Linked DNA regions of Saccharomyces cerevisiae S288C. The gene in region 1 interacts genetically with each later gene. Each region holds a gene or a part of one and is shown in the gene's direction. Other genes may lie near its edges. The genes, in order: PUS9 and HRT3.

Region 1 (3,751 bases):
AGGCATCATCAACAACAACAGTAACAACGACGACGACGACAACAACAACAATAACGATAACGATAACGATAACAATAATAGCAATAATAATAATAACAATAATAATAATAACAATAATAATAATAACAATAATAATAACAATAACAACAACAACAACAATAATAATAATAATAGTAATAATATTAAAAATAACGTTGATAACAATAATACTAATCCAGCCGATAATATTCCTACACTTTCTAATGAAGCATTTACTCCGTCTCAACAATTTTCACAGGAGAGAGTGAATAATAATGCAGACAGATGCGAAAATTCAAGTTTCACCAACGTACAACAGCATTTCCAAGCCCAAACCTACAAACAAATGAAAAAACGTAGGGCACAAATTCAAAAGAATCTAAGGGCAATATTCATTTATCCACTGTCGTATATTGGGATATGGCTTTTCCCCATCATTGCAGATGCGTTGCAATACAATCATGAAATAAAGCATGGGCCTACCATGTGGGTGACATACATTGACACTTGCGTTCGACCATTAAGTTGTCTCGTCGACGTCATTGTTTACCTGTTCAAGGAAAAACCTTGGAACTATTCATGGGCAAAAACAGAATCAAAATATCTCATTGAAAAATATATTCTGAAAGGAGAGCTTGGTGAAAAGGAAATTCTGAAGTTTTGTCACAGCAATTGGGGGAAAAGAGGTTGGTATTATCGTGGTAAGTGGAAGAAAAGAAAATGCTGGAAATATTCTACAAACCCTCTGAAGCGTATACTGTGGTTTGTTGAACGCTTCTTTAAACAATTGTTTGAACTAAAACTACACTTTAGTTTTTATGACAATTGTGACGATTTTGAATACTGGGAAAACTACTATTCAGCCAAAGATTCAAACGATAATAAACGCACAGAATCTGATGAGACTAAAACGAATAGTAGCGATCGCTCCCTTCCATCAAATTCACTTGAACTACAGGCAATGCTTAATAACATCACGGCCGAAGAGGTTGAAGTGCCCTTGTTTTGGAGGATCATTCATCATATTCCAATGCTTGGCGGAATAGATCTTGATGAGTTAAACAGATTGTTGAAAATACGGTACAATAACGACCATTTTTCTCTACCCGGGTTGAAATTTGCATTAAACCAAAATAAAAGTCACGATAAACATCAGGACGTCTCAACTAACAGTATGGTCAAATCCAGCTTCTTTTCAAGCAATATTGTCACAAACGATGATGAGAATAGCATTGAAGAGGATAAGAATTTACGCTATTCAGATGCTAGTGCATCTGAAAATTATCTGGTCAAGCCCACAATACCAGGTACGACTCCTGATCCAATAATTGAGGCGCAGAACGATAATGATAGTAGTGATAGTAGCGGCATAGATTTGATAGCCTTCTTAAGAAATGGACCATTATAAAGTTTTTGTATCGCGATGTTTGAAAATGGAAAGTAAGGAACGTAATACAAATTGACAAGTAGCCGACATGAATGACGCTCACTTCTCTTATATATGTTAGGTAGTATATGCATTATAGAATTTATTCATTGAAGCAATGTGATTCCTCGATAAGTAAGCTTTTTTTCTGTCTGGCGGCGAACCATTAGAGAACAAAAGACCGAGTTAAGAAAAAGTTCATAAAAAACTTTTGAAAATGGATGAGTGCTCGTATAATGGAATAGGAAACTTATGCAAAGAAATAATAGGTTAAGAAATTTGTTTACAGTGCCAGTAATAATGGCTCGACAACTCAAAAGGAATGCATTATCTGCAGGTCTTGCTTTTGCAGGTAATGCAACCTCAAATGAGTTTGATGAACATTTGCAAAATGAGGTTGAAAGAGAGAGGGAAATTCAAAAGAAAAAAAAAATAAAGCGAACTCAATCAAAAAAATCGCCAGATTTGATTAATAAATCTACTTTTCAATCACGAACGATAGGCAGCAAAAAAGAGAAACATAGACAACTAGATCCAGAGTATGAAATTGTCATCGATGGCCCTCTAAGGAAAATCAAGCCCTACCATTTTACGTACAGGACCTTTTGCAAAGAGCGTTGGAGAGATAAAAAATTGGTTGATGTCTTTATATCTGAATTTCGAGATCGTGAATCTGAATATTATAAAAGAACAATCGAAAACGGGGACGTTCATATAAACGATGAAACTGCGGACTTATCTACTGTAATTCGCAATGGTGACCTGATTACGCATCAGGTACATAGACATGAACCTCCAGTCACTTCCAGGCCTATCAAAGTTATTTTTGAAGATGATAACATAATGGTTATTGATAAACCGAGCGGTATACCTGTTCACCCAACTGGCCGATATCGGTTCAATACAATTACGAAAATGCTTCAAAATAATCTCGGATTTGTTGTGAACCCATGTAATAGGTTAGATAGGCTTACAAGTGGATTAATGTTTTTGGCAAAAACTCCGAAGGGAGCCGATAATATCGGCGATCAACTAAAAGCTCGAGAAGTCACTAAGGAATACGTGGCCAAGGTAGTTGGAGAATTTCCAGAAACGGAAGTAATTGTTGAAAAACCTCTAAAACTGATCGAGCCAAGGCTTGCTCTTAATGCAGTTTGTCAAATGGACGAGAAAGGAGCCAAACATGCAAAAACTGTTTTTAACAGAATCAGCTACGACGGTAAAACGAGTATTGTAAAGTGCAAACCGCTTACCGGGCGATCACATCAAATTAGAGTACATTTACAGTACTTAGGCCACCCAATTGCTAACGATCCTATTTATTCCAATGATGAAGTATGGGGTAACAATCTCGGAAAAGGCGGCCAGGCTGACTTCGATATAGTTATTACTAAGCTAGACGAAATAGGGAAAAGAAAACCTGCTAAAAGTTGGTTCCATAGTAATGGCGGGTACGGTGAGGTATTAAGGCAAGAAAAATGTTCTATTTGTGAATCTGATTTGTATACTGATCCTGGCCCCAATGATCTTGATCTGTGGTTACATGCCTATCTATACGAATCAACTGAGACTGAAGAAGGAACCGAAAAGAAAAAGTGGTGCTACAAAACAGAGTATCCAGAATGGGCTCTGAGAAGATAGAGGTTCCTGACTTGTCGGACAATAATACATAGAAAACTGGTCTTCTGTTATAATCAGTCATTGGCCAATCAAAAATGACAGTAACAGAACATCACGCTACAATCTTAATCTTAATTTATAAAAAAGCTAAAATCTTTACAGGAGGAAGACAATGAGATGTGAAGAATGACCACTTCTCCTTTTCTTTTCCATTTCTTTTCTTCCACACTCCTAGTATTCCCGGTAGTATTCTTTTCGCAACCTAAAATTTCACGTAGCAGAGAAAATCGGAGTCTTGAAAGTGTTAACCATAAAATTTCATTGATAAAATGATCTTCGAGGCTTTCTGCTATCCAAATCCACGTTTCTTTTTATTTATTTATTAAAAACCATAAAGTAAAAACTTTGTTAAGGCTTGGAAGCGACCGAGCGCAGACCGCTTGTGTCATCGATTACTCAGATAGGAAATCTTTTATTTATCACCCGCTGAAGCACGCAGCAACAACCGGTTGACCGACGCAATTCTTTGTTTACTTTTCCTTCTACTCATGATCTTCTGTTCCATTTGCCACCCGATCGAAGAAAAAATTTTACGGCCAGTTGCTTCTTGGGCGTAAGGCTCCGATCTTTACGAAGAAATCTTAATTTTTGCCTGAAAGCATGGCTTAAAAGCCGAAAAAGCAAAAC
Region 2 (3,861 bases), on another chromosome or scaffold:
GATCCATCCCGAACGAAACAAAGCAAAATCAACAAGTTGACATCGCCGTAAGTTTTCAAAAATAGCCCTTTTAAAACTCGAAGCTCTACACAATCGCAGCAATGATGTTGGAGCCTTCACCTCCACCTTTAACAACAACGGTAACACCCTCCCTTCCGTCCAGTTTAAAGAAATCTGTGACAGATAATGACCAGAATAATAACAACGTGCCCAGGAAGAGAAAACTAGCATGCCAGAATTGCCGTAGAAGAAGAAGGAAATGTAACATGGAAAAGCCTTGTTCAAACTGTATCAAGTTTCGTACCGAATGTGTATTCACTCAACAAGACTTAAGGAACAAAAGATATTCTACGACTTACGTAGAAGCTTTACAGAGCCAGATTCGGTCTTTGAAAGAACAGTTGCAAATATTAAGTTCCTCGTCTTCCACAATTGCTAGCAATGCTCTCTCCTCGTTAAAAAACAACAGTGATCATGGTGATGCTCCTAATGAAAAAATCTTAAAGTATGGCGAAACAGCACAATCAGCACTACCATCATCTGAAAGCAACGATGAGAATGAGTCTGATGCGTTCACCAAGAAAATGCCTTCCGAGAGCCCTCCACCAGTTGGCACAAATAGTATATATCCATCAAATTCCTTGTCTATAATAAAAAAGAAGACGGATGGAAGCACAAGATATCAGCAACAGCAGGTCAGCCTAAAAAATTTATCAAGAAGTCCCCTTATCTTAAGATCGTTGTCACTCTTTTTCAAATGGCTATACCCGGGACATTACCTTTTCATTCATAGAGAAACTTTCTTAAGTGCTTTCTTCGGTGATACTAACACTAAAAGTTACTATTGTTCCGAAGAATTGGTATTTGCAATCGCTGCATTGGGATCTTTGATTTCATACAAATCAGAAACTGAGCTTTTTCAACAATCTGAAGTGTTTTATCAAAGAGCCAAGACGATAGTACTCAAAAAAATTTTTCAACTGGAAGATTCTTCGTTAGCTGAATCGTCGTCCTCTTCGAAATTAGCAATCATCCAGACTCTATTGTGTTTGGCATTTTATGACATTGGAAGCGGAGAAAACCCCATGGCTTGGTATCTTTCTGGGCTGGCATTTAGGATTGCCCACGAAATCGGCCTACATTTGAATCCAGAAGCATGGAGTAATGTTTATGAAGACGAGCTGTCAATAATGGATTTTGAAGTGAGAAGTAGAATTTATTGGGGCTGCTACATTGCTGATCATTTAATAGCGATCCTCTTTGGAAGATCAACTTCCTTGCGTTTGTCCAATTCCACTGTTCCAGAAACAGACGAGCTACCTGAAATTGAGACTGGTATAGAGGAGTACATATATGACCCAAAAGTAATATTGTCCACTGCAAACCCCTTGAAGAAACTGATTGTGTTATCGAGAATAACGGAGATTTTTGCATCCAAGATTTTCAGCCCAAACGAAACTCTACTTCAAAGGAGTGAATACTTGGCCAAATTTAATCTGGAGGTATACAATTGGAGAAGGGATTTGCCCCCTGAACTACAATGGACCAAGAGGTCATTGATGGAAATGACAGATTTTAACCCAACCATAGCTTACGTATGGTTTCATTACTATATCGTGCTAATTTCCTATAATAAACCTTTCATATACGAAATCAAACAAAGCCGGGAATTGGTTGAAGGTTATGTTGATGAACTGTATTATCTTTTAAAAGTTTGGAAAAATAAATTTAAGACGTTTGAGAAGGCCACAATTTACATGATTTATTCTGCGATTTTAGCCATCCAATGCATGAAGTCCAACTTGATTAAAAAGGATAGAAAACAAGACTTCTTAAATTTTTTAAGTGCGCCTACCCTGAATTACGAACTTGCTAGAAAATTCATAGAAAACTCTGAAGATGCTTTGCATAATTCAGAAACTATGGATTTATTAGGGACTCTATCTCACGGTAACGATTTTGCCTTAGAGTACAATTTTGACTTTACTTTATTGAATGAGATTGATATGCTGATTGGTGGAAACACCAATGATGGTTTGTCGAAGTAATCTTGAGTGAAGAGGATATGTTTACTTGAACAAATATTCTTTATGTAATGTGTTTGTAGCCTTTTTATTTGGGAAGGAATATACCGCTATCCTTTCCCACCTCCGAACTTATCGATTCGGAATTTTAAAGAGCCTTCCAAATGACAAAAAAAAGGATTGTAGTTCCTAGATAGCGAAATCGACTGAGCAAGATAAAAGCAAACATTCCCCATCATCTTTGGCGACGACACATGTGTTCCATAAGCTAAACTCAAGGAGCAAATGATAGTAGATTATGAAAAGGACCCTAGGGCTAAAGAGGCTATTGCTATTTGGGAAAAAGGTGTACTGAAAGAGAAGGATGGGTCAATGTCAGATGCTATAAACTTCTATCGAAGTGCATTGAAAATCCATGATAATGTGGAATCACTGTACAGAAAAAAAATACTTGATGAGTGGATGCTGCACAAAAAACTATCGGGATTATCAATGACTACTGATGCTCCAGATGAACAAAATGAAACCGGTAAAGATGACTTATCTGTTGAAGAAAATGCTGAACTTCAACCCTGCTGGATTCTGGAAATCTTGCCTGACGACATTTTACTGAGAATTATTAAAAAAGTTATATTAATGTCTGGTGAATCTTGGGTGAATTTGTCGATGACTTGTTCCACCTTTAGCAAGCTTTGCTTCCACGATTCTGTGCCATTTAAAACTTTCGCGAAGTACATATATTCTAAGCAAATATACGACAAAATGGCAATGGATCTTAACGGAATCACCGATATAAATACCTTTGAAAAGGAAATATGGCGGGGTGATGATTATCGTATGTTAAGGGAAAGGCCATATATTAAATTCGAAGGTGTTTACATCAGTGTAGTAAATTATGTAAGATACGGTTCCAATGCAGAAAGTTCGTTATCTCTTTTAAAGCCAGTTCACATGATCACCTATTACAGGTATTTCAGATTTTATGAGAACGGCCAATGTTTGAGATTACTTTCTACAGATGAACCTAGCGCTGTCGTGAAGCACTTCTCCAAAGAGAACAAACCCAGGCATAGTCATATGTGTTATTGGAGCCTCGGATTTGATTATGATTTTGGTCATTTAAAGATAACAAGGTCAGATGAAAAGTATACGTTTATCGAAGAATTCCAAATCAAGAATCAAGGCAATAAGAGATATCAACGGTTGAAATGGCTAAGTTCAATTGTAGTGGATAAGGAAGGGAATGCATCTAACTGTTCGTTGAGAAATGAGAAATCTTTTTTCTTCTCCAGAGTGAAATCTTTCAAGGATCCTGGATGACATCGATGTTTTTTGCAGTTGTTTTACTTTATTTATTATTCTTATAGATTTATGTAGAACTATTATTTCATCATATGAAAGATTAAAGAAAGCAGATCTCAGCTTAAATAAATTATACTATAATATTAAAAAAAGATAAATATTAGATAATAAAAATTGAAAGACACACGTTGAAATATTTAGTAAGAACAACGTATCTATAGGTTTAATTCTTTTAAAATATACGATGCCAATTCTTTATATAGCCACGTATTACCAGAAACCTTTTTGAAATGTACACCTGCTAGGCCGACGATACGAACCTTTACAATGTGAATCTCAAATTTAATAGGAGGCCTTTCTTTTATACCAGAAGTATTGGTTTGCTCTGTTTGACCATTTACGTTATTTATATTTTGGGCTCTTGATGTTGTTAAAATATCATCCTGTTGTTGAACATAATCTAATGACATGGAAGATAGTTCCCCTGATGTACCATTACTTTGGTTTCCGTAGTTTGGAGACATTGGGATAGATG

Evidence for each region.
Region 2: mutations in PUS9 (region 1) and HRT3 together harm fitness more than expected from each alone (negative genetic interaction), as found in Saccharomyces cerevisiae (one large-scale study listed by BioGRID).

The regions. Positions count from the first base shown.
Region 1 is NC_001136.10:386,847-390,597, reverse strand, and holds PUS9 (pseudouridine synthase PUS9), read left to right. Parts: upstream 1-1,696; coding exon 1,697-3,085; downstream 3,086-3,751. Other genes in the region: GPR1 (Gpr1p), read left to right, coding at 1-1,426. UniProt on the Saccharomyces cerevisiae protein: Responsible for synthesis of pseudouridine from uracil-32 in mitochondrial transfer RNAs.
Region 2 is NC_001144.5:335,714-339,574, reverse strand, and holds HRT3 (SCF ubiquitin ligase complex subunit HRT3), read left to right. Parts: upstream 1-2,309; coding exon 2,310-3,344; downstream 3,345-3,861. Other genes in the region: CHA4 (Cha4p), read left to right, coding at 102-2,048; serine/threonine protein kinase KIN2, read right to left, coding at 3,542-3,861. UniProt on the Saccharomyces cerevisiae protein: Substrate recognition component of a SCF (SKP1-CUL1-F-box protein) E3 ubiquitin-protein ligase complex which mediates the ubiquitination and subsequent proteasomal degradation of target proteins. Probably recognizes and binds to phosphorylated target proteins.